4 linked regions of the Tamandua tetradactyla genome follow. The protein of the gene in region 1 interacts with the protein of each later gene in a pairwise test. Links are inferred from orthologs where the notes say so. Each region holds a gene or a part of one and is shown in the gene's direction. Other genes may lie near its edges.

Region 1 (7,670 bases):
GGAGCAGTGGGCATAAATGACTCTTCCAAGGAGCAGGTATTGATGACCCCACTTTCAAGGATCCTTGGTGTTCTCTCTTACCTGGATCTACGTTAGATCTGTTCCTTCCACTCTGTTTGCCCTGGAGGTCACCTTCCAGAAGGCCTATTTTCTGGAGATGAATTGCACAGATTCTAGCTGCTACTGTACTTAGTCAAGGGAGAGGGAAAGAAGGCTTTCAGGCACACATGTTCTGTTTCATTCAGGCTGAACCAGTTTAAAATGAAAACCATCTAGGAGAGTGAATTGGATTTCCCCGTCTTCTCTTTGGAGTTTCCCATATTCTAGGAAACTGGAAGGAAAGGAGATGAAAACTTAGCAATACTTCCTTCTTTGTCCCACATGCCCCTCTTTGAAGGTGTCAGCTCATTTGCCCAGGTCTCATCTCTTCTCTAAACTCATTCAACTTGGTATCCATCATCTTGGGTTTTCCTTAGTGATTTATCCTATAGTCTCATTCTAAATTCTCAGTAGAAGGCAGGAAGCCAAATTCTTCAGGTCCCTGTACACTCCCATGGGGGCTTCAGGTATGTTATATGTGCCTGTCTGCCTCACTGACAGGCTGGGGAAGGATCTAGGGCCAGGACTCGGAGCCACAGCAAATGTTCATAGCCAGCAACATCTTCCAGGTAGGACTACCCTAGAAGTGAATGAGTGTGGAACTGAGATTGTTCAGAGGACATTTCTTCCACAGCCATGTTAGGATTACACTAACCTTGTCCAGTAGTTTTTTTTGTCATAGTTTGATTCTTTTGTTGAGCCAACAAGCTGAGAATTTGGCCCTATAGGGATTTATCTGGTAGGCACTAGGCTGCTATTTGGCCAATGCCTTCATAATGATTCAGCCATCCATTTCTGATCCCCTAGCTCCAGCCCTGAATTAAGACCATGGCAAGGGAAGAATTTGAGGTCAAGACTAACCAAATCTTGTAATTCAGCTATTATTTTTCCTCTGAGAAGGCATTTTGCAAATACTGTTAACATTTTTCATTTATAGCAAAGCAGAAAATAACTTTTTAACCTATGTTTCTTATTCCTTGCCTGCCTGCTCTACTCATACTTCCCATCTGGCCCCTATAGGTCAGTATTAACTCTTGCCTGCTACACCTACCCAGGCCTGGGCTGTATGCAGAACCAAAATTGGCTATGAGAGTTAGAAGAGGCCCAGAACACCCTATGAGAGCTGCTGTGTGGTGTAAAGGTCTTCAGTGAGCTTGGGCTTCACTGGCTAGGCCAGCCCAGCTTCTCATCTCCATTAGCACTTGCCTGAACCTCTCTGCTGAATCCCGTGTTCCCTTATGTATGTCTAGTTTTCAGCCCCTAGGTTTGGGAAGAGAAAACTGCCATCCCCTGGGACAGTGAAGAAAGGCATTTCTCAAAGGTTCTGAGACTGGCTAGAAACCTTTGACTCAGAGAATGTCCTCTACAAGAAACCTTGGACCCTGAAGTTGAAATTTGGTTTCTTTATCCAGCTTTTGTGCGAACTGCCTTTGATTGAACCACTAGAGAAGGGAAAGGGTTATGGGGCCCTAGCCACCCAAGGCGTACCTGATGTTCCCTAAGAACAGATAGGCTTCCCAGCTACAGACCCTAGGAAGGTGAATACATCCCTTCACCTCACTGGTGTTTCAGAATTCATTTCCTTTTATTTTTCCAAGAACATAAACCGTCTGGCTATTTTCCATATTCTCAGGGCCCCTAGGGAGACAGAGATACAGCTTGATGATTTCAGAGCATAGGCATTGAGTGTTTAGTCCAGAAAAATGATATTTATATACACATCCAAATTTGAAGAGAAAATGTATTTCTTTAGGTTTCAAACACTGTAATAGATATAAAGCAAAAATAAAAACCTGTTGCAAAGTTCTAAATTGTTTCTTTTGATTTGGAGTGAAATTAAACTGAATTTTTTTGGAAGTGAAGGAGGGGAGGGTGTTCATGCCTGTAGCCTAATGTAGGAAGAAGAATTGCACCGGCCTGCTCCTGCTAGACTTCTTTTTTTTTTTTCAAATAATGAAGTTATAACGTACAATAAACTACATAAAGTGTACCCTGTGATAAGTTCGGACATATACTACCATGAAACCACTATAATCAAGATAGTGAACATAAAAGTTTCCATATTGGGCGGGCCATGGTGGCTCAGCAGGTAAGAATGCTTGCCTGCCAAGCCCGAGGACCCGGGTTCGATTCCCGGTGCCTGCCCATGTTAAAAAAAAAAAAAAATTAAAAAGTTTCCATATGCCCCTTTGGAGTCCCTCCTTCCTGTCCTACCCTCAGCAATTACTGATCTGCAGTGTGCCACTATAGGCTGGTTTGCATTTTTTAGAGTTTCTATAAAGGATGTTGACATCATTTCAGTCCACTACTCTTTAAAAGGCTTATAGGCTTAAGTGAACATTATCCTCATTTTGCCCATGAAGAAACAATACCACATACTTTGAGATCATATAGTTTTGTTTTTCGTTTCATGTTTTTTTTTTTTTGTATGGCAGAGTCACATTTCATTCTTTTTCCAGATTGTAGCACCATTATTGGTGCACCATTTGTTGAATTTTTTTGTTTGTTTAGTTTTGGGAAGTGCATGGGCCAAGAATCGAACCCAGGTCTCCCACATGGCAGGCAAGAATTCTACCACTGAACTACCCCTTGCACGCCCAAGATCATATAGTTTTATAAATGCCTTGCTTCAGTTTAGATTAATTTCTAAAGCAGAGAAGCAGCCAAAAGTTGATTTTGCCCAAAAGAAGAGTTTTGATTGGCCAATAGAGTGTGTTTAAGTTTTAATTAGTTGCCAAAGTTAAAAAAAAGTCAAGATAATATCTTGTCTTGAAAAATATTGAATATCTGGCACTGTTCGGCCTAAGTTTTCTGCTTGGCAACAAACTGCAAAAACTGCTCTATTTTACCATAATCCTCACTATTCCCAATTGTATTCCTCACTCTGTCAAGTGCAAATATCACTACCATTTTTCTTTTCCAGCAAAGGAGAAAGTAACATTTTAACTCATATTTCTATCAATTTTTCTTATTGCCCACCTACCTCCTCTATTCCTATTATCATATACCTCCACAAGACATTTCCAACATGCTGTTATGGAAATAATCAAGTACGTAGGGTAAAGAAATCTGGATTTCAAATCCTGGCTCTTTAGGACACTGTCTTTCTGAGCCTCAGTTCTATCATCATACCATTATACCACATTGCTTCCCACTCAGTGTTCCATCAGACACTGGTGCCGCCTACGGGCTGGGGAAGATTAGGCCCAGCACTGCCCTGAAATCTTAACCAAGCCTGTGCTGTTAGACTGGTGCTAGGCTCTGGAGCTAGAAAATTTAGTCAACAGTTCTTTGATTTGTAAGTAAATAGTAATTTCAACCGTTTCGAATAATTCTGTAATTGAACTCTGTCCAGACTAGAGTGAGGACAGACTGCAGAGGATTGAGAACATACTGAAGTGACCTGTAAGCATAGCCACAGAAAATTTTGTTTTTGCCAGAGGGTCATTTTGAAAGAGGGAATATGACCTGCAAAAACCTGGGAAATTGCAGAAATACTAAAAGCACAGTTGGAGCCAAAAGGCAGGGAGAAAGAGGAGAGTTGGTTGGAAAGAGGCAGCAGCCAAACCATGTAGGCTTTAAATTCCAGGCACAAGGATTGTCTGCCATTATTCCATTATCTATAGGCGGTGGCAATAAAGAATTGCAATCTCACATTTGGAAGGAAAAAAAAACTTGGCTTTCTTTTTTAACTCTGGTGCTACTGGGACTTACTCTGTAATAGGTAGGCCAGAGAAGAGACTTAGGAATCTTTGCCTGAAGCCAACCTCTCCTGCAGGAACCCCTCAGACCCTTCCAAAGAGGGACTAATGGCCAAGTTGGTGATAGGAAAGAGGGTAAAAAAAACTTAGTTTCACAAGTTACCTTGACATCTTCAGCGTAAATATGCCATGATTATTTCTTTGGTTATTCTAGGTGAAAGACAGTGACAGACTTTCTAGTTTTGACTCCCTGGTCTAACTACCCATTTGTAGTATGACCTTGGACAAGTTATCTTTTACCCCACTGTCCTCACCTGTAAAATGGGAATAACAACAGTACTTACCTCCATGAGTAGTTGAATATTGAACTAGTAGATACCAGAAATGCACACAGCAAACGGTCAACAAACTGTTACTGTTATTATTAAAAGCCCCTCCCTTGAATAAGCAAATAGGAACCCAGTCACTACACAGCAAATTAGTGTACTCAGGACTGGAATACTGGTTTGGTTCCCAGCTCAAGATTCTATCCCTTGCCCTGACTCCTCGGAGTTCGTACATAGCCACAGAAGTTCACAGTAAAGAGTGAAGGGATGGTGGAAGCATGCAAAAAAGAATAACCAGGCGCCAGGCCTGGGGACTGAGTCATAGCTTCTACGTAGTATGAAAAGAGGTTGACGTGGGTATTGTGCAGAATGACTAGCTGCTTTCAGAACTCCTGAGTATCTGACTGAGAAGACTAAAGCCCTATGTACTGCATCTTGGGAATTGCGGTCAGCTACCCCGGTGCATGTAGGGACTCGTAGTCCTCTCCCTCCTCCGCCTTCCCAACGTAAGCGGCCTCAAAAGGCGGCTTCGCTTCGTCTTTCCCAGCAAGCCCCGCGAGAGCGCGAGCTATTGATTGGCGGCGGCGGCGGCACTGCCGGCAGCGGTTGCCCAGGGTTTCCGGTGCGAAGCTACAGCGGGTGAAGCCGTCGGGCGGTGAGGTGCGTACTGTGGCGACTAGTGGAATGAGACGATCGGAGGGCCTATGGGCCTTGATGCTTCCGGCCAGTGGGAGGAATCACGCTGACTCCACTCGTGGGCTCGGGCCGGAGAATGGGTTAATGCCTATGCGCATGCGCGGGGGTGTCGCGCACACCGTTGGCGGGCGCGCGGGGCGTGGGTGTCTGCGCGCGCATGGGGGCCCACGTGGTGCTTGGGGGCGGGGAGAGATCGGGAATCGAGCCTCCCGCCACGTCAGTCTCCGGCCTTGAGCCAATCCCGCTCTTTGCCTGTGGTGAGGGGGCCGTGTTGTGCCGGGAAGTGGCTTCGGGGAAAAAGAGGCCTCTTTCCTCGACTGCTCCAGGAGTGGAGCTCGGAAACCTGCCTTGGCAGGCCAAACTGCCCCGTCAGCCCAATGACCAGCAGAACCGTTGGCTCCCTCCGGTGAAGGCCCGCCAATCTGTTTTTGTTTGTTTTAAAGAGCTTTCTCGCCCGGTCTTGGAATTTCTGATCCAGAGAGGCTGCGAAGAATTTCCAAGTCTGGAAAATAGCAGCTGTGTTTGTTTCTAAAGGATCTGCTGCTAACCTAGCATCGCAAACCACAATGAAGAACCAAGACAAAAAGAATGGGGCTGCCAAGCAATCAAGCAACACTTTCAATCCAAAAAGCGGCCCAGGGCAACCGGAAGCAGGACCGGAGGGAGCCCTGGGGCGGTCCAGCCAGTCGACTCCGGCGACAGAAGCTGAAGGTTCCTGCTGCCAGGCCCCAGGGAAGACTGAGGGTGTGTGTCAGCTCTGCTTTTCCGGTGGTCATGGGGAGGAATCTGTGGTACGCAGGTTTAGCTTCCGGAGTGAGAGGCCAGAGATGTAGATTGAGAGAGGACAGTGCTGAGTCTGTGTGACCCCCACCGTTTCTTGGGGAGTTGGTAGAACCTCCCCCTCCAGCCACAGGAACAGAACTCTCTTGAGAAAAGGCTCTAACAGGATTAGCCAAGTGACAGTCAAATGAGAGACCCAACCTGCAAATCCAGGTCCTGTTAGGTAACAAATCAGTCACCAGTGGGTCTATATTTGAGGCATTTCTGGAACTTTTTAAATAGCAAACTATGGCTTTAGGGGGAAGGAGAAAGTGATGGACTAGAAAGTGAGCTCCTGCTATATGTCTAACTGGTGCAATGTGCTTTACGTACTTGACCTCTTATGCTTACAACACACCTTCTTGGGTGGTGGTAAGGGGTAGTTATACTATTTTATAGGTAAATAAAATGAGGCTTAAAGAGGTTAGGCAGTGTTTAACCCCAGCCAGGGAGTTTAGCAGGGCCTGAAAAATCCCAACCAGTGGTATAACCATCTTATTTCTCATTCTGTCCCTCATCTGCTGCTGTAGGGGCTCAAGCCAAAACTGCTCAGTCTGGGCCCCTACGTGATGTCTCTGAAGAGCTGAGCCGCCAGTTGGAAGACATCTTGAGTACATACTGTGTGGACATAAATCAGGGGGGCCCAGGTGAGGATGGGGCCCAGGGTGAGCCCACTGAACCTGAAGATGCAGAGAAGTCTCGGAACTATGCAGCAAGGAATGGGGAACCTGAACCAGGGACCCAAGTTATCAATGGTGAGAAGGAGACCTCTAAAGGGGAGCCATGCACAGAGGAGATCCGAGCAAGTGACGAGGGCGGAGACCGAGACCAACGAAGGCCACAGGAAAAGAAGAAAGCCAAGGGTCTCGGTGAGCAGAGGGCAGCTACATGTGAGGCTGCTGAGGGGAAGGCATTGGGACCCAACATTACTTGTGCTAACTGCTCTGCCAGAAGTTAGAGGAACACAATACTCCACAGAGCAGTGAACCATCCTAACTTAGTTCAGTGGGTGGCATAGAGGTCTACAGGTTGTTTCACTGCACAAGGGCGCCTGGCCTTGGGAGCATGTGAGGGCTGACATCCATTCTGATCTCTCTTTGAGAAACAGAGAGCCAGAGGCCTGGGTGACCGTCTGCCAGCCAGAACTATCCCTCATCTGCTGTGTCACCTTGAGCAAATACTTCCCTCCTTCTGGCCTTAATTTCAGCTTTGCTTTGTGAAAGGATTGGACTAGACTGGGGTCAAAAACTCAATTGTCTGCACAGGCTAGCCAGGGAGCCCCATGAGGACCAAGAGAGTTGCCTATTTCATTCACTTTATCTCAGCCAATTGATAGCATGCAAAACTACAGGCTCGTGCATCTGGAATTTTGTTTCTTTGTTTTTTAAGAAAAAACCAAGAATCTAAAGTAAAATCTCTAGATTTTTAACTGTTGACAAAATGCTATGAGCCAAACAAAACCCACCCATGGACTGCATTTGCCCTGTGTTCTAGAGATTTGCAGTGTCTGTACCCATCTCTTGGAGCCTCCCAAGGCTGACACTAGAGGTCCCTGGGTGTAAGTGGCCCTGCAGGGTAGAAAGGAGATTGACTCAGGCACAGGCAGTGCAGAAAAGATGGTGACCGACAGTCACTTGACAGCCTTCAGAATAAGGGTATTAAGAATTGAGGTTGGGTGACATTATATGCATATCCTTTTCCCCACTTTCCTACCCTCTGCCTGTGGCCCTAATTTAAAGAGGAAATACTAAAAAAAAAAATCTTACGATCACGTATATAGAAGATATATACTTTTTTTTTTGTATGCTGTATAGTGGGGTCACATTTCATTCTTTTTCCATGTGAATATCCCGTTACTTCAGCACCATTTGTTGAATCGTTTGTTTTGTTGGTTTCTTTGTTTGGGAAGTTGTATGGGCCAGGAATCGAACTCTGGTCTCCCGCAAGGCAGGCGAGAATTCTACCAATGAATTCTACCAATGAAAGTATATACCTCGCACCCCGAGGTATATATTTTTTAAAATTCATC
Region 2 (7,505 bases), on another chromosome or scaffold:
GAAAAAGATACAGCTAGATTCCTACCTACCATCATTAAAAAAAAAAAAAGTCTTACACCATGTTAATTGACTAGAATGCCATGTAAAATATACTTAAAGTTAAAAGGCTGGATCAAGGGATATTGTACAAAAGAACATTCTCAGTGTGAAGGCTAAAAGCAATACAATACATTTATCTCAGTTTATATATAACAGAAAAGTTGAAATTATGAGTCAAGACTCTAGCCAGTTTTCATGAAGAGGCAGATGAACTCTTTTTTTGAGGGCAAATGAATAGAATCAAATTAAAATGGAGGGTGGAGTAAAAACCAGGGTGATATCCAGTTATACTATGGGTAAACCCAAAATGTGGAATAATCCCAGGATTGAGATCTGTTTCTAACACAAATTAAGATAAACCTGCCTATGGGCAACTGGGGAGACTGCATTCCTACTCAGAGTCTGCTGCAATTTCAATCCATGCTGCTCACCCATCAGTTTGGCAGGGGCAACCCTTGGGGATTTTGAGTAGGGGTTAGGGTTGTATTCTGCTTCTGCAATTGTGTTTTTGTGTGTATATTGGGGTGGGGTGGACCACTGTACAGCGCCTAGCTGCTTGGGGGTGGTCAACTGACCAGTCTTGCAGTTTGTTAAAATGCACAATCTTGAAGTCCACCCCAGAACTATGACTAAGAATCTGCATTTTAACAAGATCGCCACAGGACCCTTAAGGTTTGACAAGCACTTAAAGCTTAAAGAAAGCTCTGTTAAGTTTAAAAAGAAAAACGGGAACCACGCAGTGGACAAAGTTAGAATCCGTCTCCTGAGTTCTACTTGGAAAATCCTCATCCCAGATTCTCCATTAATGTAGAGATACAATTTCAGCCCATATGGGTTAAGGCTCTAACAACTTTTTTAAACCTGAGCTCACTTGATCAGTAGCCTCAGCTATCCAAAATATGCCCCAGAGCCAGAAATCCTGAGAAAACTTCAGCAGCCAGCATGGGTGCCTTAACACCTACATATCAGGGCTCCTGGGTTTCATGCGTTGGAGAGATGTCAGCCCCTCACAATACGAATAAACTGGGTATTACAGTTCCCCACTCACTAAAGATTAGAAGCAGCAAATTTAAAATAGGGCAAAGGCAAAGAAGTAAAAACATGGGGTCAGGGTAAGCTTTACAATGAGACCTATCAGTAAAAAAATGGCTTTTGGCATTACCATTTTATGGTTATTTGGTTTTATAAACCCTGTTTGCACCTCAAAAACACTAATGCAAGTTCTCAAGCCTGGCTGTGCATTAGAAACACTTGAGAAGTCCTCTTTTAAAAATTCTAATGCTTAAGACCCACCCACAAGAGAATGTGATTTACTTGGCCTGGGGTGGGGCCCAGGCACAGGTAGATTGTCAAGCTTTCCAGGTGATTCTAATACACAACCACCCACTGGCTTAGTGTTTAAAACCATTCAGTGGAGGGCCCCAGAGGCCTGGACACCTGATTAGCCTCTAAGTAGACCCTTTGTAGCTTGCAACAATCATTGAAGTTGGTTATGATGACTTAAATTCCCAGGATTTTCTATTAAGGGGAAAACATCATATATATTAAAAGTGAATTTAACAAGACAAAAGGTAGCCTAGCACTAAATGATACAGAAACATACATCCAATTCCTGTGTCATAGAGAAATAAGAGGGCATTGGCAGGATAAGGCAAACAGCCACCAGCTCTCCCACCTGTGCCTCCATATAGACTGGCACATAGTGTTCCCACAAATCACCTGGGGGTCTTGTTAAAATGCAGATTCTGACTCAGGTAAGTCTGCTGTTTTTGTGAACTCTAGGCGATGCCGATGTTGCTAGTTCAGGGGCCACTTTTGAGTAAAAAGGCTAAACATCATACTGATGGCCATGAACCCAAATAAGAAGGATGAATTCCACTGGGGTCCTTCCTGTCCATTATCACCCTGCTCAAAACTATGGGTTTTCCTGAATTCATTCTATATTTCTTCCTCCCATTAGGCAACGTCATGGTAGAATCAGAGAATGTTAGTTAGAAGTGGACTTAGAGCACATCTAGTTTGCCCATTCATTACAAAAGTGTGGCCCCAAAGTCCAGACAGCAAAGGAGTTGCTAGGTTCACAGGTGATAGCAGCAAAGTCAAATCTGGATTTCAAGTCAGGACATGAAAGCACCAGCTAGCAACTCTGCCAAAAAATGAAACAAAATAATTGTTTTATGTTACTTTCTACAGAAATACCCACTTGATTATCCACAGGGAACTCGCAGACTAATAGAGTAAGACAATAAATAAATATAACTATAAAATATAAATTATATTACATAAAAACAATAAAAATAGAGTCACAAAGGAGCATGCAACTTGAAACCTTCTCTGACTGGCATTATAGAGCTCTAAGAGGGAGCAGATAACATGGTGCAGACTTGCACCAGGGTCCCTGGCCCTGGGACCACACAATAACTATTGTTTTCCCTCTCATGGAATTTCCTAAAAAAACTGAAGGCCCCCAAAGAAGCCATTCATTAAATTCCTCAGTTAAGCTTATTTCTCTTTTCACTCTTTGGAATCCCTTCTCATATGATTTTCTAAGTACCATACAGGAATGACGTATACTCTCGTTCAATATTAAGAAGCCCTCTTCTGAAACTGAAGAAATATATTGTCTTTGTAAAGGAGAAAAAAGGAATCCTATTCCTGAAACATCCAGAGCAGTTTCTCTCCCAGCCAAATGGGTCTGATTCTTGCTCTTTTACTTGTTCCTTCCTGTCCTCTTAAAAAAGCAGAGTGAGGGTTAATTAGATCTGCAGACCCAGTGGCATTCTAAGTCACAGGGCAATTGATGGGGTTAGGGCAGCAGCCACACCCGCTCCTAGGAGCCTCCTTTTCTTGCCACAAGAGGCCATTCCAGCAACACTGTTTAAGATGGACTGGCTATCATCTCTGACCTCAAAACTCTGGCCAGCCCATGACACCACCGCAACAGAACCTATTCCACTGTTTCATCTTGTTACATGTGGCTCTCTTTGAGTGTGGAGCCAAGAATCATGCATTGGGAAATCAGCCTGAAAACCCCGAGACTGAATACTGAATATTGACTGGAAAAGGTTTACTAGGCTCACATCTCCTCCCTTCCACCCCCAGTTTTTCTTTGATTTTCGTTTCTGTTTTGGGCTCCTGGTAAATTCAATTACATCTCTGTTACCTTAGACTACTTCAGCACCTTCTTGGAAATTAGACTGTCTGGATAAGCAGAGCAGCATACAGGCACTTTTGCTGCCAGAGGATCAAAAGTTAAACTCATTTTCACTCTCATGACATTCCAAAAGATCACAGATTATTTTCTTAGTACCTAATCAGAGAGAGAGGAAAGAGCTAGAAGTTAAGGCACCAAACTGCTGCCAGTGGTGATGTTTGAACAATGAGACAGGAACTGGGCTTACATTTGTCTCATTGTACTTTAATTCCTTAATTCCCTTAATGAGCATGCTACTACAAAATGAAGTGAAAATATTTTCCTTATTTGCTTTAATTTACAGAAAAATCCATTTGATCTTAGAGTGAAGAGAGGGTTTTGGTTTCCTTTTACACTTGATCTTAGCCAAAAGGCCGAGAAGCGATGGTTTCTTTTTAAGTGTTCATTTTGAATTATGCTTTCTGTAATGAATTCAAAGCATATAAAGGGAAAACCATGTTTCTTCACCAGCAGGTTTCACAATGGCTATTAGATGGCCACAGCATCCCCAAACCCGCAGAAAGTGGGTGTTCGGGGGAAGGGAGGGGACTCAAGAGTTGAAGTTTTGCCAAGGAAATTGATTCTGACACCCAAAACCATAGGCTGAACGTAAGCCCACGAACCTGGGAAGGCCTAGGCCTGAAGCAGGCCCCCGCTTGAGTGGCCTCTGATCCCAGAAGATGAAGAAGCGGACACCGGCTCCAGGCCGCCTGGCCTCAAAGGCAGCCTGGGAGTTCCGCACAGAGGCCTGGAGCTGCTAGCTCTGGGGCGTGGCCTGGACAGACACACGCACTGGCTGACAGTGGTGTCCGCGCGCTGAAAAGAGGGCCAGGATGGCTCTCGCTGTAGCCAAGGCCACAGACCCGAGTACCTACCGGGCAATGGACGGCAAAGAAGGGGCGAGAAAGACCAGCTGGAGGTCCTGAAAAGGCCCCGGACCTGCTGGGGCCTGGGTCTGGGCTCCTGGACTGACGCGGCCTGGGTCCGGGTTTACAGGTCAAGCTCTGGCCTCAGGGCCTGCTACGGATCCTCCCCCGGCAGGCTCGGCGCTGCTTGGCCCCGCCTCTCTCCCCGCCCCATATTGCTTTGGGCCCCGCCTCTCGCCCCACCCCATCTGGCCTTGCTCCTGCCTCTCGCCCCGCCCCCTCTGCCTTGCACCTCCCACTTCCCGCCCCTTTCGCTATGCTCCATACCCCATTCTCCGCCTAGCGCCCGCCCCCCTCCGGCCCCACCGCGTGGGGGCGCCGGCTTGCCCACTCGCTATAAAGGCGTGGGGGCCCTGTGTCTGGCTAATCTGCTAGTGAACTCGAGAGGCGCCATGGACGATCGCCCCTTGTTCAGGGAATCCACAGCCATGCACCCCGACCGCCTGTGGATCTGGGAAAGAAACGTCTACTTGGACGAGAATCAGCGCACCTGGATACCTGTATGCCTCAAGGTACAGCTGCTTTGGGGCCCGGATGGGCGGGTCAGCAGGAGCATCCGCCTCCCTGGCCCGGTTCTGGGGAAACTGGAGATACCCCAGGCTGCACAGAGCACTCAAGGAGCCCCTCTGGCCCCTGGGTGAGGGTCACAGCAAGGAGGCTCTAAAGGGGCCTCGTTCTCCCTGGGTGGCCTGGCCTCACAGATGAAACCACTTTGAGCTGGCCCCAGAAAAATGAGTAGGAGTTCTCCAGGCAAGGAAGGAGGGTGAGAACCTCACAAAGGAATGAAGCAAAGCATGGGAACCTCTTGCCTCTGGAGCATGTGAATATGCTCTTGAATAAGACAGGACTTTTCTGGGCTTTATGTATCTAATCTCCAAAATGGGCATAATAGATCACTACAATAAGTGATTTACCCACCTAGCCAGTTATCACACGTTCTGGGCTGGGCCTCAGAAATCTACATTTCAAAAAGGGTGCCCAATAGACTATGCAACCAAGTTAGGAAACTGATGCCCTAGATTTATGGGGGTATTTCATGCCTCCTCTATGCTTTGAAAGAAACAAACTTAAGTAATATAATAGTATAAAAGCAGGTACTGAATAAACGTTGACTTTGTTTTATGTATGATGCTTTAAGATGGAACTTCAGTTCTTTTTTAAAAAGAGATATAACTCTTTTGCAAATACCTTCCACAAAAGCCCAGGTTTCCCCAAAGAAACTTAAGGTTGAAAGTTGAATGACTTTCCATATATAAACCAAAGGAAAAAAATGTAAAAGCAAAATTAAAATATAAAGTATTAGAACATTTATGTCCTATAATAGTAAACAGCAGAAGGTTATTGAGTATTGACTGTGTCTCCATTGTAAATGAGGAAACTGAGGCATAAAAATGTAGATTTGTCCGGGTAGTACTGGTAGTGGTAATTGGGTTGATTCCTGACACTTAACCACTGTCTAAACCTTGAATGTTTATTGGCATTAAAATTTTAAAACTATCCATGTATACACACAAACACACATGCACACACACTCTTTTTAAAAATCAAGTAAAATACTGATTTTTTCACGTCGCGTATTTGAAGAAATACTATCTTTGGGTTACTATCTTTGTTTATCCCTGGTTAGAAATTATCTTCTTCAACATGACACCAAAACCAAGAACCAGATAGAAGTTTTCTGCACCACCATGATACATTCTACACAGAAAACAACCCACTAGCAAATTTGCCACACATGACAAAGGGACTGGAACAGTATTCTTAATATGTAAAGATATACTTAAATCAACAAGAAAAAAGTGAATAGAAACTAAAAATAATTAATGGATATGGAAGATTGTAGACATTGACACAGCAAAAATGATTGCAATGTGAGCTGAATATTTTTTTCACAGTGAACTCTATTTCATAGAAAAATTTTAAAAAGCTATTTCTCCTTTGGAAAAAGTATTGAAAAAATGGGAGAGCCTAGAATACATGCTAATCATGATTTGAGGCTCTGGGGATATGCAGTGAATGTGATAAAATCTCCACTACTTGTGAAGCTGACATGGATAGCAAAATAATTCTTAAACTGCTGGTAAATTCTGTAGGAGAACTAAAACAGGAAAGAGGGGTCAACAAGTGATGTGGGGATCTTCAGGCAAGACTTCTCTGAGGGTCTTAATTTGCACTGGCCTGATACATTTTTGCCATCATTTTGTTTGTAACCTTGATGAATCTCTTTATTTTAGGCATGTCTTTATGTATCTCACAGAAGTAGATTTTTCTGACTGTTTTCTTTTAATTGGTAAATTAAACTCATGTTCTGTTATTGATCTAACTGATAAACTAGATCTCAGTTCTATCTTTCTGTTTTATGTTATATTTGTCTTGGTATCCATACATTTGGGCCCTGCATAGTCTTGGGGAGAATGTTCCAGGCAGAGAGAACAACAGGTACAAGGGGTTGCTGAGTGCAGACATGAGTGTGGCATGTCCCAGAAATGGCAAGGGGTCAGAGTGACTGGAGTGGAGGGGAGGGTGAAGGACAGAGCAAGAGAGAGAAGGGACCCAGCTCTTTTGGTTTCCATGGGCCATGGTATAGATCTGGGTTTATATACCTGTGATGAGAAGCATAAGGTCTTGAGTGGCACACTGGCATGGTTTTTAGATGCTCATCCTGGCTGCTGTGCAGAGAACCAATGTGGGGCCTAAGACCAGCAAGTAGGCAAAAATTAGGGAAATGATTGGTAGAAGAATGGTGATGCAAAGGGATCTGTCACCAGATTTGTGGTCAAGGGATACCTTGGTTAAAAGAGGAAATATGATAGAAATAAAGAGCAATGCAAGAAAATCCTATGACAGCTGAAATGGACACCTGGGTCCCACAGTATGTCCTGGCCAATAGGAGTTTGTCAGGAAAAAAATGTCTACCTTTTCTGGCCCTCTCCAGTTGGCTAGACACATGAGAGTGCTTGTCATCTTGGCCATCCAGGGTTCCTGAGAAGAGCCAGCACAGCATTAGGGACTGAGCTTCTGGGAACAGTGAATGCTGGCCTCTCAGACCTGGGCACCTGCCAGGCTGAAATAATCAAGAAGGACTCTGCTTATTTGTGCCTGGAGGAGCCCTGGCAAAGGTGCGCCCTGGTCCTCCATTCTCTCTTCAGATGAATACTTGCCTCCGAGTACTCATGCGTCAGGAAGATGTCCCCTTGGGAAAGGCTATGAGTCCCAGTCAGCTTCCTTCATCCCCGTTGCCTCTGATGTGGCAGCTCTACCCTGCAAGAAGGTACCGGAGTTCAGATTCCAGTTTCTGGCGCATAGTGTATCATATCGAGGCAAGTGTGCGTTACTCTCCAGGAGCT
Region 3 (7,585 bases), on another chromosome or scaffold:
CCCTTCATAGTTTGCACTTTTTGTGTCTTATTTAAGAAATACTCCTTTACCATGATTCCTAGTAATATTATTCTTTATTTTCTTCTAAACATTGTATAATGTTTACCTTTCATATTTATACCTTTAATGAACCTGGAATTTATTTTTGTATATTATGGGTATAATTTGCATGAGATAGGAACACGATTTCCATTTTTGTAATATGAAAATTAAATTTCCATCTACAGACCAATTTCTCAGCTCTATGTGTTGATCTGCTGGTTTAATTGCAGATCAGTATAGGAGCCATTACCCATCATGTGAAAGACATAACTTAAAACTAGAAAATGTATTTTGCATTCTTAATTCATCAATGTCTAAATTTAATCCCTATCTTTGTCCTCTTTCTGAATAATCAAGGGTCTTAGAAAAATGTAACTCCATTTATTCCTTTTCAGCTCTCATCTCCTTTCACTTGTATTGTGCTTTTCTTCTCAATACATGTATTATTTTATAGCCAGTATTCATTCTAATTTAATCACATATTGAGCACTTTCTTTGATCACTGATCCATTCCTGCATCTCAGATCTTCCATCTGGGATCACATTCCTTCTGTCTAAAATATATTCTTTCAGATTGCTTTTAGTAAGAGTCTGATGATGACAAACTATTTTTTCCTGAAAATGTCTTTCTTTTTCCCTCATTCTTGAAAGTGTTACTGAATTTTATATTAACAGGTATTTTATCTCAGCATGTTGATGATACTGTTCCATTTCCATTGTCCATTGTTGGTGTTGAGGTGTCAGCTCAACCATTTCTTTGTTGATGATCTGTATTTTCTCCCTACCTGCTTTTCAGATTTCTCTTTCTTAATCTGGCATTCTGATTTATTTAGAGGTGATTTATTTTTATTCATTTGGGTTCCCTGCATCTGAAAATGAGTTTCTTTAAGCAATTATGGAAAATTTTCAGTTTTTATCTGTTTGCATATTTTCGCTTTTTTTTTTCCATTTTCTTTTGTCCCTTTCTGGAAGTCTGACTAAAACTACCAGGCTAGCTTTCATGTCTCTTGACTCCTCTTAGTCTCTCTAACCTCAATATTGGATAATCTCCATATTGGATAATTTCTTTGGAGCTATCTTTTAGTTCAGTAATTGCCCTTTAGCTTTGCCTAATCTGTTGCTGAACCTGTCCCTCCTCAATGGGTGTAAAAAGATAGGTAGAGATCAATAAATCAATAGATAGATAATTCATTTTAGTTATTTCCATTGTGAGGGACATTCACGCTATCCAGTCTGCCATACCCCATGATATGGAAGCCGTGGTTGACAACTGTTTTACTTTCTTAATATGACTAGCAGAAACAGCAATCAATGGGCATTGAGGGTCCCCTCCATCCAGAATCTCATTGTGGAGTCAAACTGGCAAATGCTTCTTCTCTCCTTGAAGTTGGGCTTTAATACTTCTATTCATTTATTCATTCATCATTCTCATGACAAGTCGATACTGAAGACCTACAATATTTGAGCCAATATGATATGCCAAATTCACCAACTCATTGAAACACAGCAGGACAGAATTAGCAATTAAGTACAAATCAAAACTTGAATATGCCAGATTGCATAATATACAATAAGATAAGTTTACCACATCACTTGTTTATATGTCTCATTATAGAAAATTTCAAATACAGTAGTCATCAGACTAGTATAAAAATTACCTGTGTACCCATCTCCCAGATTCAACAAATAACTCATGGACAAACTTCTCTCATCTATATTCCCGCATCATTTTAAAGCAAATCCAAGACATCATATTTCACCTTTAACTATTTCAGTAGGTACAACAGTTTTTAAATCACAGAGGCCATGTTTTTTTTTTGTCTTAACTTTGCAATGCCTACAAATATCCACAATTCACATATGCCATCCTTCTCAACTAATTAGAGCAATGCATCCCAACTGAGATGCATGGAGAAGACAATTCTTCCAGAGACAACAGATTCTAGATTTATAACATCTGAATTGCAATGGCTTGTCCGTGACGGAAAAAAAAAAAAGTCCAAAATCTCTGAAAATTTTAGTTCTTATGCTAGCTCTCCAAATTACTGGCCTTACTTTATATTAATCATGAACACTCTTGGCAAAGTCTGAGGTCAAAATGCACCTCCTATTAGGTACAAGGAAACTTTACCTTTATTTCAGATTACTTTGTGTGTAACAAGAGTCATTAAGACCTATATCTGAGCCTCAGGTATAATTCAGAAAAATGAATTGCAGTGAAAGACTAGTCTGATTTCCTATGGTCATGTTATAAAATATAATAATTAATCTACCAAAGCATAAAACTCAAGATAATAGAGGAGCCAGCAAATTCTTCTACCCTTATGTAAAGATGCTAAAGTCTTCCCGATAGGAATTTTTCCACCCTGACAAATAAGTGGATTAGATGACCGAACCCCATAATAGCCCTATTATATTCAAGTTTAAATGGGAAATCTCAAAACCTACAAAAATTGTTGGAATAACCCATAATTAATATTATTTCTTGAAAAAATAAAAAATGAGATTTTTAGCTCTTTGAAACAAACATAATTGGTTTCTGCAATAAAGAAGAATAATGTTAAAGAAGAGAACAAAATTTATCACATTTAATAACTGCATTTATTTTTCTTTCTAGATATAACAGACTACCGATTTAAAGAATTCTTCTTCGTGACTTAATCATGTGATAGTAGATGAGCCTCTTAGCTGAGGCTGACTGCAAAACTTCTGAAATTTAAAAAGCACAATTTTCCAATGACTTTAATCAAACAATCTTTGCTTCCTCCATTAAACACCAAAAAAATATTAATTTTGCACATACACATCTAAAGGAAAACATGGTTCACTATTAGTTATTTACTACCAATTTTAGCTGTGAAATCTGTTTACAAAGCATAATTTTTAGCTTTCTCATAAATAAGATCTGTTTGTTACATGTTCAGTCATTGGCAGCAGACACTCAATAAATGCTCATTTATGAATGAATGAATGATATGTGAAAGAATATAAGTGAATGAATGAGTAAAAGCTGGCCACACATACACCATAAAATGCATGAGGTAGGTTTAACTATCTCACAATTTTAACTTTAATAAAAGTAAAAGTAACTGAGACAAAATCTAATTCAAAGTATTATTTCAAGTATATTGTTTATAAGGGAGGAAAATATAGTTTCACCTTATTTTGGAAAAAGGATGTTTGAAAAAGAAACTCAAACCCAACAAGTAAAAAAATCACTGATTTTCTGAAGAACGCCAATAAAAAAAAGAGAAAAATCACTAAACAGGACACATTTTTCAAATTCTTCAAAACAAATGTGCAAGAAATGTGCAATTCTTCAAAACAAATTCAATTAAAGTAGTGAGATCATAATGAGTTTTCCGTGGCTTTTTCAATGTCTTTAACTTAGTAAGGAAGAAACTTAAATGCTCTAGGGGAGGTGTAAATTCCATTAGGAGATTCGAATGAGGAGAGTAAAAGAATAAATCCCATTCAGTTCAACAGTGTTTATTGAGTGCCTACGATCACATTCCCGCTGATGAGAGGGCGCCCTCAGCTCACCAAGTATCTGGAGGTGGAGTTGCAGGTGCTGTGGACTCCAACCTCCCACCAGGAAAGCTAGGTGCTGTGCCAAGGTGCTGCAGAACAGCCTCCTATATAGGGAATTGCCAGTAGGCTAGTGTATGGGTCCTGCAAGGAAGATCAGACCTCCATAAACACACCTGCCAGTGAAATCCATTGAGGACTCGACAAGAGAGCAGCTGTGGCTTCAGGATGGATGGAGGGGAGCCTGTCTAGTGGTGGATAGTTAAGCTGAAGCTGAACTTATACAGGGGAGGGAGACTTCTCTATGCACCATGCCAAGTGCAAAGTACTCTGCTGAGGAGTCTAAATTTCTTGGTAACAGGCTCTAACATCAGATAGTTGTTGATGAATTTAAATGCATTATCTAGCCATAGAACATTAGAATTAGAAAAAGAAGCAAAACCTTCAAAATCACCTAAATTCATTTAATTCACTTTCCCAAACTATATCCATAAGTGTTCCAATCTATTATTTAAGGTTTTGTGTTCATTTTAAATATTCAAGATTTTGTGTTTGAACAGATTATTATAATAGTTCTTATAAAATAAAACGTCTAAGCAGGGATAAACTTAAAAGCAAAAAACAAACTAGAGTTCTGAAGGAACAATCATTATAAATAAACATTGTCCTTTTTCACCAGTGACTAATTATGTACTCACATTTGTCCTTTTAAACATCTTAATTACTCATGAGGTTTGTAACTTTATGTGTATAATAGGATGAAAAAAAAAACATGCCAAAGCAGGTGCAACGGCTAGAAGAATACATTTTCTTGATTCTTTTGTTACTTCTATTAAAAAAAAAAAAAAAGAAATCGCCCCTGAGAAAACCTCCAAGAAGTGCCTCTGGAATAGAATTAGACATATTGTTGCACAAAAAAAAAAAGCAAGGCAAGGTAGACTGTGATGTCACTGCCAAAGTGACATGTCAGCAGTTCTCTCTCCGTGAACACTATAAAAGTTTAACTCAACATCCACTGTGCGACAGACTGGGCTCCAGCCATTCTGAAGCTACAGGTTCTCTCTCCCAGATTCCGCAATGGATTTCTCGGGCAGACGGGGTTCCTCCTCACAGGTCTCTGCTTTCAGTGAGAGCGATTACGGGTTCTGGAGTTGGGGTGTGCAGCGCCGGGTGAATGCTCCCAGCGTCTATGGGGGTGCTGGAGGCCGTGGCACTCGCATCTCCACCTTCGGACACATGGGGAACCACTGGAATGAGCTCAACCGCGGGTTACCGTTTGTTGGCAATGAGAAAATGATGATGCAGAACCTAAATGATCGGCTGGCTATCTATTTGGGGAAAGTGCACTCCCTGGAGCAGTCCAACTCCAAACTCGAAAGGAAGATCAAGCAGTGGTATGACACCAAAGCTCCTAGCAGCGGTCGAGACTATAGTGCATATTACAAACAAATCCAAGAGCTGCGAGATCAGGTGAGGACTACTGTGTTTTCTACTCCACTCTTTAGCTGCGTGGTGGGTCTAGAAGACACATGTGTGTTAAGTGGGTCAAAATGGATGTTCTAAAGCCAATGAGGCTGAGATGTTAACTTGGTAAAAAGGCTATTCTCTATCATCTACTTTATGCTGGCATGCCTCACTGCATGAGCATAATAGGATGGCTTTAAATCACACTGTTTAAACACTTTATATAATTACATACAAAATATGCAATTCCATCCTTCAGTTTTATAGTCTGTGTTTTGTTACAGTTTACCAGATCAGGGCTAAATGGATGGTAAACTTTTTTTGGAGAACAGCAAAAATTTCTTTACATGATAATGATCTTTCTTAATTTTTCACCTTCTCTCCATGAACTCTCCCACAGTCAGTCCAGAGATTTTTCTCCTTTCACTTATATAAATGTTATATATGAGTATTAGAATCACATATTATAGATTTAAAGACAAAGTGATTTAGGGTGGAAGCAGGGGCAGGAAGTACAAATCATAATGAGGCCTGGATTTATAAATGCCCTGTTTCATAACCTTATCATGATCATCAATCAGCCCAGGAACTGTTTCTATAGTAATAAAATGTTACATTGCTCCCAATTCAGATTTATTGCAATCACATCAATACCTGTTCCCATGTCATCCAAGAAAGGTGGCGTTCCCTATTTTATCATTTACATGGAATAAAAGCAGACTTTACTCCTAATTAAAGATTTCAGGTATGACACAGAGCACTTGCTTTGCTCTAAAGTTCTTATCTAATCAAGAAAAATGTCCCCTTCATTTTCATTTCTATTTTAAGATAAATATTTTTTAAGAGCAAAGGCCTTACTTACCAGCAAGTCTGTTTTTCTTGGGAACAATTAGGACACCAGCAGGACAAGTGATTTGATTCAGGTTTCACAGGAACTTATGCTGGGGTCTCAGAACCCCAAAAATATGAGACAGGGGTGTTCAAATTGCCCTCCTGCCAAGAGTGGCTCCAACTAAAAACGTTCAAAATAAGGCAACCATTCTCCCACACCTGTCTTACAACTGACATCTCTGAGATGGTCTAAGGTGAGACATGAAGGAAATGTAGGAGCTCACCAGGGGAGAAGAGCTAACAGGAATATTCCAAGCAGGCCCCCAGTAAAGATTCATTGACTCAAGTTGAATTAAATTCTCCTTTACTATAATCACAAGAAAAATGACCAAACCCTGGGAACCGGAGTTGCATTTTATAGCTGTCTTATTTTAAATGCATTTATCATTATTCTTCCTTGCTATTTTCATGTGGAAATTCTGGAAATGAACATCATCCCTGTACATAAAAGTGGTTCTAACTGAGGATAAATGCAATCCTTTTAAACTCCTATCCAGTTGAAAATGTCATATTTTTTATATCATGTGTTTTCCAGATTAAGGATGCACTACTGAAAAAAGCTCGATGTGTCCTGCAAATCGATAATGTTAAGCTGGCTGCTGAGGACTTCAAAATGAAGTAGGTTCTCTAATACCATGGAAAACTGCCTAATGAGGAACTGCTTTTAGTTGTCCATCATGACACTGGACATTCAATATTATTCTTAGTACAGCAGCTAACCATTAAAAAGTCTCAGAATCTTTTTCTTTTTTTTTTTTCTTTTTTTTTTTTTTTTTTTTGCTATGGGTAGGCACCAGGAATCGAGCCCGCGCTCTCTGGCATGGCAGGCAAGAACTCTGCCTGCTGAGCCACCGTGGCCTGCCCAAAAAATTGCAGAATCTTAAAGGAAATTAGATGCATTCTGGTCTAGCCTAGGACTCACCTGCTGGACTTCTCTCTCTCACAGTCCTAAAATTCAGTCATCCAGAGTAACTGAACACCTCCAGGAACTAACACTATACCCAACAGTTAGCTTTGCTTCTTTCTTTTGGTAACCTGAAATCTACGTTTACACCCTGTGAACTTAATTCTGCACATAGTAATAACAAAGCCATTTTAATATAAGAGCCCTTCTGTTGTTTAAAGAGAGCCACCAAGTCTACCCTTAGCGATTCTCTAAGTGGGGCATCCATATTCCCTCAAATGCCTACATGTTCCAGGGGTGACTCTTGATGCTTCCTAGTTGCCTGCATTTTACAGTCTTGACTGACCAGCCAAAGACTTAGGACCAATCTATGATTATGTTCAAAATTGTATGAGTGTTTTTGGTACTCATAGCACACCACATGTAATCAGAGCTTTTCTTCCTAAACTTCTGCCACATACTTCCTTACATTGAATTTGTACAATCCATTGGCATTAAAAAGTCCTTTGTGGTTTAGAATGCTAACGTGGTTTAGCATTTTAATGCTACAAGGGATTAAAAAGAAAGAAATGGAAAAACAGATCTGAAGATTAAAGCAGTAAAATTCATTAGTGAAAGTTCTGCTAAGCATTTAAGTGTACATTTTTTTATTGCTGTTTTTTAAAAATGAGTGTATTTAAGATTTTAGAGGAGAATGCATGACTGTTCAAGATAATTCACCTTGGCTGAATCTGTTTACAAAGAAATAAAAATAAA
Region 4 (7,848 bases), on another chromosome or scaffold:
GAACAGTAATAGCAAGGACAGAACCTACTTAGGAGCTGTTTCTAATTGGATGTCTCATAGGTACCTTAACTTCAACATGTCTAAAACAGAACTCATCGCATTTTTATCTAAATTGATCTCCTGGCACTCTTCTGCTCAGGAAATGATTGCACTATTTATCAAGTAGCTTAAGCCAGAAACTTTAGAGCCATACTTGATTATGTTATTTTTCTCATGCCTCAACTAGTGGAATAACCTCCTGTTACTGCACACCTACTCTTGGCCCTTGAAATCCATTCTTCACATTGCTTCTCAAATGATGAATATCATCATCTTGGTCAAAATTCTTAAGTGGCTTCCTGTTGTTCCTAGGATAAAGTCCAAAACCCTAAACATGGCCTACAACACCCTCTGAGATCAGACTCCTGCTTAGAATACCTAATGCTTACTTAGATTTCTTAACTGCTAGCAGCTATGCTATGCCTTGCAAACATTACATTTTATTCTCATAGCAGTATTGTGAGGCAAGAACTATTAGCGTCACCATCATTTTGCAAATGAGGAAACTCAGTCAAGGGGATATTGTGCAATTTGTCCAAGGTGGTAAAGCCAATAAAGTATTGGAGGCAAGATTTGAATCTAGATCTGTCTGGCTCCAGAGCATGAGCTCTTAAACATTCACACTCTCCTGAAACTGTATGCTCCAATCATTTTGCATTACTTTCACTTCCTAGAACTCATATGCTCTCTCTTACCATGAGGCGTCATACGTAGCACTCCCTATATCTGGAATGTCCCCCTCACAAATCTCAAATTGTACAGGACTGGATATTTATTCACTCATCAAGTTTCTGCTTAAATGTCATCCCCTCAGAAAAACCTTTAATTTTTTAATAAAAAATTAAATTTTTTATTTGTTTAGATCTTCATGGCCTGTCTTTCTTCAATAGAATGTGAAAATTGTTCACTCATCCCCATTTCTTAGAATGGCATTCATTAGAGGGTCAATAAACAAGTGTTGAGTGAGTGAATGAATGATATAAGGGTGGTTATATCATTAATCTGGTAACTTCATCTATTCAGACTGATAAGATACAGAGAGAAGCCCAATACAAATGTCTATCCATTAGATATTTACTTAGTAGCTTCCAGGTCCCAGCCTATACTCTTGACAAATTACAATCTGGTGGGCGAGACAGACACATAAGCATGTGGTTATAGCACAGTATATGTAAAGTACCTGTTATATATGTGGTAGGAATAAGATGCAATAGGTGCCCAGACGAAAAAGACAGTATAAAGCTATGAGAAATCTTCACAGTAGAGGAGATTCTAGAATCCTTTAGAAGGATGGATGGGTCTTGAAATATATATTATATAGTCCATGTATTTCATCTAAGAAAGGGGAGATGAGCATACACTATTTACTGGGACACTTTATATCTCATTTAATTCTCAAAGCAGCTCTCTTTTTATGGATGTGGAAATTCAAGCTAAGAAAGATCAAATAAGTTGTTCAAGATTATGGAATACATTAAAAGAGCAGAATCTGAACCCAGATCTGTCTGACTCCAGTACCCATTTACTTACCAATATATCACAGTACTTTTACTGCGTACTCCCTTTGAGGCTGCTTACTTTTATTTTCAATATAACTTTCAATAAAATTGGTCATCTGGTTTCCCAGTCTAATATAAACAAGCAGCAAAATGAAAGGTTCAGGAAGAGACCAAAGTGAAGTATATGGATAGCAAAGGGAGGGACAGAAAAAACTATAAAAATTGGACACAAAAATTTAAAAAAAAAGCATATCAGGGAGTATCTGTTAGTGCAGTGTTATACAGTCCTATACACTCTACCCTCCACTGTACAACACTACTTGATGTGCATAATAATGATGACACCATTACGAACAAAAAGGTTGTTATGGTCACTACAGTGTAAGAGATAGAGAAATAACTTCTGATGCTTGAGCAAGTAAACTTCAGGTATCTTAAAAATTAATTTCTCCCTGGTAACTATGGTTAAATGAATTATAATGGTTGTTTTCAAAGTGTTGAGAAGAAATAGCCCAAGATCTTAAACAGTCTTTTCATGTTATGGAATTGTTTTCCTGATGCCTTAAACCAAGATCAAGAGAGTATAGAAAAACTGTCAATCTCAGCTTACAAATATTGCCAAGTAAATTATAAATTTTTAAAACTTCTCATACTATGACTTTGAGCAACACGTGTGGACTGAATAATGTGTAGACTGACAGTCATACATGAAGAGTGTCAATGAAGAATCTTAATATCTAAAAACAACCAACATCTAATAACCTTTCAATAAGTCAGGATAAATTGATTATGTATAAAACAGGGGGAAAATGATAATATTTTTAACCTGCTGCACTCATAAATAGGTATGTGAAATAGAAAAGAAACAACTCTAGGTAACACAGAAGATGGTTGAATTATTTACCATAAAAATGTTTTCACTATATACTCTACCTGGATCCAACTTTTTAACTTGAAGATGTCTGCTTTTTTTTTTATAACAAAGGATTTTATAATTTTAATAAATTTACATTTAGAGAACACACCCTAGATTTTTTGTTTTTGTTTCTTTTGCTTTGTCTTTAGAGAACAAGAGAAAATTTGTTTCACCAATTATCTTGAACAGGCAAAGAAGGAAACATTTAATATCCTTTATAATTTGATATGTTTTTGAATGTAAAACTTTTCACATAGAACATAGTTTGCAACAATGTAAAAAGCTAACAGTTCACAACATAAAAGTGACTATAAGGAAAAGCAAGTCTTGTTATTAACTGTAACTTTCACCTATTTTTTTTCCAGAAGGAATGGAGTTGCTGTCTAAAACTGTCTAAAAAAAGAATACTTCGTTTATTTATATTTGGAAACTATTTTTACTTTAGTTCATTTTGTTCAATTTAAACCCCCAAATCAGTGTTTTACAGATCATTCTAAACTTAAGACATGGAGTGAATTTATAATATGAATTCATAATATGACAATCTATTGGAAGCAATACAAAGTGAATAATAAAATAAATAAAAATTTCACTGTACATAGACATAGTTGTACTTTTAATATTCTTTCTTACCTGGACGCTCTTCAGAATAAACTCACTTTTCTCTCGTACATCTTTAAAAGGACACCTCATAGAAAGCATGAGCAGATGAGCAAGAAGCTTATTCAATCCATCCAAAGAAACAGCATTTGAAAGACCGTCTGATGGACGAGAAGGTGTGTCTTTTAACGAACGAAGATACTCGGTTTTCCTCAAAATGATTTGTCTAATGCTTTCCAGTGCTGTCTCTCTAGTACTTGAATCTCTACTGCACAGACCATCCCATCTCACTTCACTCTCTCCTTCGGCCATGACAACTTGGGAGTTTTTCCTTTCCAGTCTTCAATTATCTTTCACCATGTCCCCCAAGGCACTGTATTTTTAAAATGAGAACTATAAGAATAAAATCAGAGAAATCGAGTCGTCATGAAAAAACACGTTTGAGTAACATTTGGAATCAGAACTCTTACATTGATGCTTTCAATTCTCTCCTTTTGCAAGAAGGGGCAGTCTTCTGGTCAGAGACTGGAGAGAAAAAAAAGTTGGAAAGTTGTAACCCTACAGCGCTGGCTTTGCTGGACACGGCGCCTGGAGGAAGTGTTCTCCGTCTCGCCCGGTCAGCGGATATCCTCACGTTGTGGAGTTGTCAAATCCGTGCTCTGCCCCAAAAGGCCGGTAACAGGGAACGCTCTCCAACCATTCGGGTTTTTTAGCCTGAGCAGTCACCGCGTTCTCGGGAGCGTCCCCGCCCTCCGCAGCTCCTCCCTGCGCCGCAGAGGCCAGCTGGGTGCCGGCGGGACGGCTCGCCGAACCCTGGCCCACTGGCCGCCGCGGCCAAGAACCCGGGCGCTCCCTGGGGGCGGTAACCTCCAGCAGCCGCCGTCTGGGCGAAGGCGGCAGCACTGTTAGAGCACAGCACTCACGTCCAGCCGATTCGAATGCCCGGAAAAATGCCGCTGCTTCTCCGAGTCCTGTGTCCTCGGCCAGAGTCCGCCAAGCCAGACGGGTACTGGGCGGCCCTGGCAATCCCCGAGCGTCGGGATGGGCCGCTGAGCAGGCTGAACTGTAGGGCCGGAGGCGCAGAGTCCGCCCCTACGCCCAGCCCCATCGGTGGGGATCGGCCCAGAGGCGGGAGCAGGGAGGGGAGATGGGGTCCTCACCCCCAGCCCCTCCCCTTTCTCCGCCCGGCACAAACCAGGAGCCGCCCCTGCCCCCGCGCTCTCTTCCCCGCCCAGACGGACGAGACCCGCGCAGGCAAAGCCATTGGAAAAAGCCCCGCCCTCCGGCAGGCTACCTCCAGACCCTGAGTCTGCGCGAGGTGGGGCCAACTGCTGCCGGCTGCTACGCATGCGCAATGGCGAAGACGGCGCATGCACCTCCAGAGGCATTTAATATTTTGTGGGTGCGAGTGTGGGGGTGTCGTTTTCCGTTTCCAGGCATTTGGAGTTCTGGAGTGGAGAAGGGGAAAGAAGAGTAAGAAGGAGTAGAAGTTCGCTGAAATTGTTAAAAACAATACGCACGGCAAAGAAAGGAAAATCCTGAGGCTAAATTAAGACTAGCCTAAAAATGGTGACGGCCTCTCTGTTACGCCAAACCCCAGATTTAAGTAGCTAGGACGTTCTCGCATTGGCTTCTGGGAAATATAGTTTTGATGCTGCCGGAGCGGTCTGTTTGCGACAGAAACTACAAGTCCCAAAGGCCACCGCGACGTTGCCTGCTGCGGCCTGTGAACCAACCGTTAGCTGAGGCGCGAGTTGATTGAAAGCGCCAGCTTGGTGAGGTCCGTTGGCTACCTTTTTTTGACAGGACTTTTTCTTCCTTCTTTTCTTCTGGGATCTTGAAGACGAGATCATCTAGAGCACCCCCCCTCAAGTGCGGGGGCTTTTTCTGATGACCTGAGTGGGAAGGGCTAGTCCAGGTGCCCATATCCCGTGGTATGGTGAGGCTCGGATTTGGGGGTCGCGATGTTGGGGGTCGGAGGGAGTGGCCTTCTTTGGGAGTCAAGGGGGAAGCTTGGAAACGGGTGCTGCAGGTCCGCGCTGTCGCCGGTTTTCGCCCTTGCAGGTGCACACACGCGAGATGGATTAGGAATTCTAGTGCAATTGCACCTTGTTTGCATCTGTACCGGGATAGACTGGGCTCTGTTTGGTCAAAGCACATCCCAAGCAGGGCGTTGAAAGCGATTTGTCAAATAACGTTTTGCCTGGGACTAAAGGAAAAAGAATTCCTAGTGTTGTTATATATGACTTATGCAGACTTTAAGGATACCATATGAAAAACTCTAAAGACCTCTGAAATTAGTATCTTTAAAGTTCAATTATTTGTTTACGAATAATTGTTTGTTTTAAAAGTCATTCTTTTTGAGAAAAATCGAGGATTGGAGGGTAATAATGATAATCAGACTAGATTTTATCTCTTCACGTTGCAGAATGTGTAAGACTTTAGTCTTGCTGGGCATAGTGTACAGCTGTGAAAAAGACACGGCCCCTGTCTAGTTAGTAAAACCAATGGTTAGGATGCACGGGTGGTTCTTTGGTAGAATGCTTGTCTTCCATGCAGGAGACCCGGGTTCGGTTTCCGGGTCAGGCACCCCCCCCCCAAAAAAAAAAATAGTTAAGCGTACAATTTCAGTACTATTATGATAGTGCTCTTGTTGAGGATGCTAGTAAGGTCACCTAGCCCCATCTTGGAAGGCAAGAAAGTCTCCTTCCCAAGGTAATTGGGGATCAAAATAACAAAGAGCAAATGCTGAGGCCCAGGGTGAGAGAGATTTGATACTTACAGGAAACTGCAACAAAACCAAAGCTATATCATTGAACTGATTTATACCACCAATGAATTGGTCTAATTTGGCAAGTTTTGCTACATTTTAATGCTAATGGTTTGGATCTGAGTAAAGATGGTGTTTGGGTTTGCTAAAGCTGCTGGAATGCAGTATATCAAAAAGGGCTTGGCTTTTTCAGTGGGGATTTATTAAGTCACAAATTTGTAGTTCTAAGGACATGAAAGTGTGCGAATTAATGCATCAAGAGAAAGATACCTTCTTTGGGGAAAGGCTGTTGACGTCCGAGGCTGCTGGCATTAGGGTTTCCTCTGTTACATGGGAAGACATATGGTAAGGTCTGCTGGTCCTTCTCTCCAAAATGTGTCGGGGTTTCTGTGGGTCCTTGCTTATTTCTCCCAGGGTATTTCTGTCTCTTAGCTTCTCCAGGGATATTTTCTTTCTTAGCTTCTCCCTGGATGTTTTCTTTCTAAATTCTCTCTCCATAAGCTCACTTAAAAGACTTTTTAGTAAAGGATTAAGACCTACCTTGAATGGACTGGATTACATCTCAATTGAAATAGCCTAATCAAAACAAGCTTCACCCATAGTAGGTCTGCACCCACAAGAATAAATTAAAAGAATGTAGTCTTTTTTTTTTTTATAACAGATTCAAATCAGCACAGGTGGGAATAACTGCTCTTATGAATGTGATTTACAAAATAAAAAAGCCCATTTCTCTCTCTGTTGTGGGCTTATCCTTCTTTACCCAGCCCACAAAGTCTAAGTCCCCTTTTTACTCTGTAGCTGAATATGATCTCAGCCATACCCATGGCTTCACCACTACCTATTTGTGGATGACTCCCAAAGGTACAGCTCCATCGACTTTATCTTTCAGCCTTCATATATCCAATGATCTCTCTGCTGTTTCTTCTTGTATATCTCAAAAGCACCTCAAACTCAATATGCCTAAAACCAAATTCACAGTTACCTGGTTCTCTTCCAGTGTTCTGTCTCAGTATACTACTGTCTGTCTACTTGTGAAATTTTGAAAGCTAACCCTCATTCTTGATTCCTTTCTGTTCTTGTACCTCTATAGCCAAAATATTACCAAGTGTTATCAATCTTAAATCCCAAATACCTCTCCAACCCATCTGTTTCCCTTTATCTACATCAGTACAGTCCTATTCTAAACTGCTATAATCTCTTGTCAAGACCACTGCAATAGTCATTATTCACTCTGGGCCTCCTCCATTAGTTCTCCATACAGCAGCCAGAATGATCTTTTCAAAATGCATCCCATTGCTCTTAAAATAAAAACAAAACTCCTTAACATAACCTTTAAAGCCCAGCATCATCTGATTGCCTTTCCACTTCTCCAGCTTCACTTAGTATCATTCTCTAACTCTTTCCCTGTGCTTCAGCCGTAGAGAGAGACCTTTCTTCAGTCACTGGTTCTCACCACATTCCCTTTCACCCATTCGTTTATTCAACATAATTGTTGAGTGCCAACTATGTAACAGGATATAACACTGAGTACACATACAAGTCCCCCCATCCTCCTGTTATAGAGCTTGCATTCTGCTAAGGAGAGATAGACGATAAATAAATAAGTAAAATATTTAGTACATCAAATGAAGACAGATGCAGTGGAGAAAAATAAAACTGGGATGGGGAATGGTGCCAAGTTGTGGGGGCAGGGTTCACTTTTATATATGGTGGTCACAGATGACTTCATCAGGAAGGAGACATTTGTAGGGATCTCTGTAGGGGATGGAGGATTAAGCCATTAAGATTCCTTGGTGGGTGGGGTGGGGGGAGAATATTCAGGAACAAGGCCTGTGAGGGACCATGCCTGCACATTTAAAAAAGGAGGCTTACTCTGGCTGGGGTATAGTGAGTCAGGGGATAAAAGCAGCATGAGGTCAGAGTGGAAGAGGGTAGAGCTAGATCATGTAGGTGATTGAAAAGACTTTGGCTTTTTTTATTGATATGAAGAAGCAATTGGAGGGTTCTGAGCAGATGCAGGCGGG

Evidence for each region.
Region 2: the proteins of TXLNA (region 1) and TCL1A interact in binary tests that used the Homo sapiens proteins (3 or more experiments, as listed by UniProt). The two-hybrid records come from large-scale screens. The link is inferred for Tamandua tetradactyla from reciprocal best matches to the Homo sapiens genes TXLNA and TCL1A.
Region 3: the proteins of TXLNA (region 1) and KRT20 interact in binary tests that used the Homo sapiens proteins (3 or more experiments, as listed by UniProt). The two-hybrid records come from large-scale screens. The link is inferred for Tamandua tetradactyla from reciprocal best matches to the Homo sapiens genes TXLNA and KRT20.
Region 4: the proteins of TXLNA (region 1) and CEP57L1 interact in binary tests that used the Homo sapiens proteins (3 or more experiments, as listed by UniProt). The two-hybrid records come from large-scale screens. The link is inferred for Tamandua tetradactyla from reciprocal best matches to the Homo sapiens genes TXLNA and CEP57L1.

What each region holds. Positions count from the first base shown.
Region 1 is NC_135328.1:193,695,621-193,703,290, reverse strand, and holds the start of TXLNA (alpha-taxilin), read left to right. Parts: upstream 1-4,662; 5' UTR 4,663-4,786; intron 4,787-4,999; exon of another isoform or gene 5,000-5,265; 5' UTR 5,266-5,388; coding exon 5,389-5,566; intron 5,567-6,171; coding exon 6,172-6,510; intron 6,511-7,670. UniProt on the Homo sapiens protein: May be involved in intracellular vesicle traffic and potentially in calcium-dependent exocytosis in neuroendocrine cells.
Region 2 is NC_135338.1:56,901,409-56,908,913, reverse strand, and holds the start of TCL1A (T-cell leukemia/lymphoma protein 1A), read left to right. Parts: upstream 1-4,495; 5' UTR 4,496-4,550; coding exon 4,551-4,670; intron 4,671-7,307; coding exon 7,308-7,478; intron 7,479-7,505. UniProt on the Homo sapiens protein: Enhances the phosphorylation and activation of AKT1, AKT2 and AKT3. Promotes nuclear translocation of AKT1. Enhances cell proliferation, stabilizes mitochondrial membrane potential and promotes cell survival.
Region 3 is NC_135332.1:26,527,278-26,534,862, forward strand, and holds the start of KRT20 (keratin, type I cytoskeletal 20), read left to right. Parts: upstream 1-4,582; 5' UTR 4,583-4,647; coding exon 4,648-5,040; intron 5,041-6,460; coding exon 6,461-6,543; intron 6,544-7,585. UniProt on the Homo sapiens protein: Plays a significant role in maintaining keratin filament organization in intestinal epithelia. When phosphorylated, plays a role in the secretion of mucin in the small intestine.
Region 4 is NC_135331.1:167,541,510-167,549,357, forward strand, and holds the start of CEP57L1 (centrosomal protein CEP57L1), read left to right. Parts: upstream 1-4,840; 5' UTR 4,841-4,990; coding exon 4,991-4,993; intron 4,994-7,848. Other genes in the region: SESN1 (sestrin-1), read right to left, coding at 3,088-3,366. UniProt on the Homo sapiens protein: Centrosomal protein which may be required for microtubule attachment to centrosomes.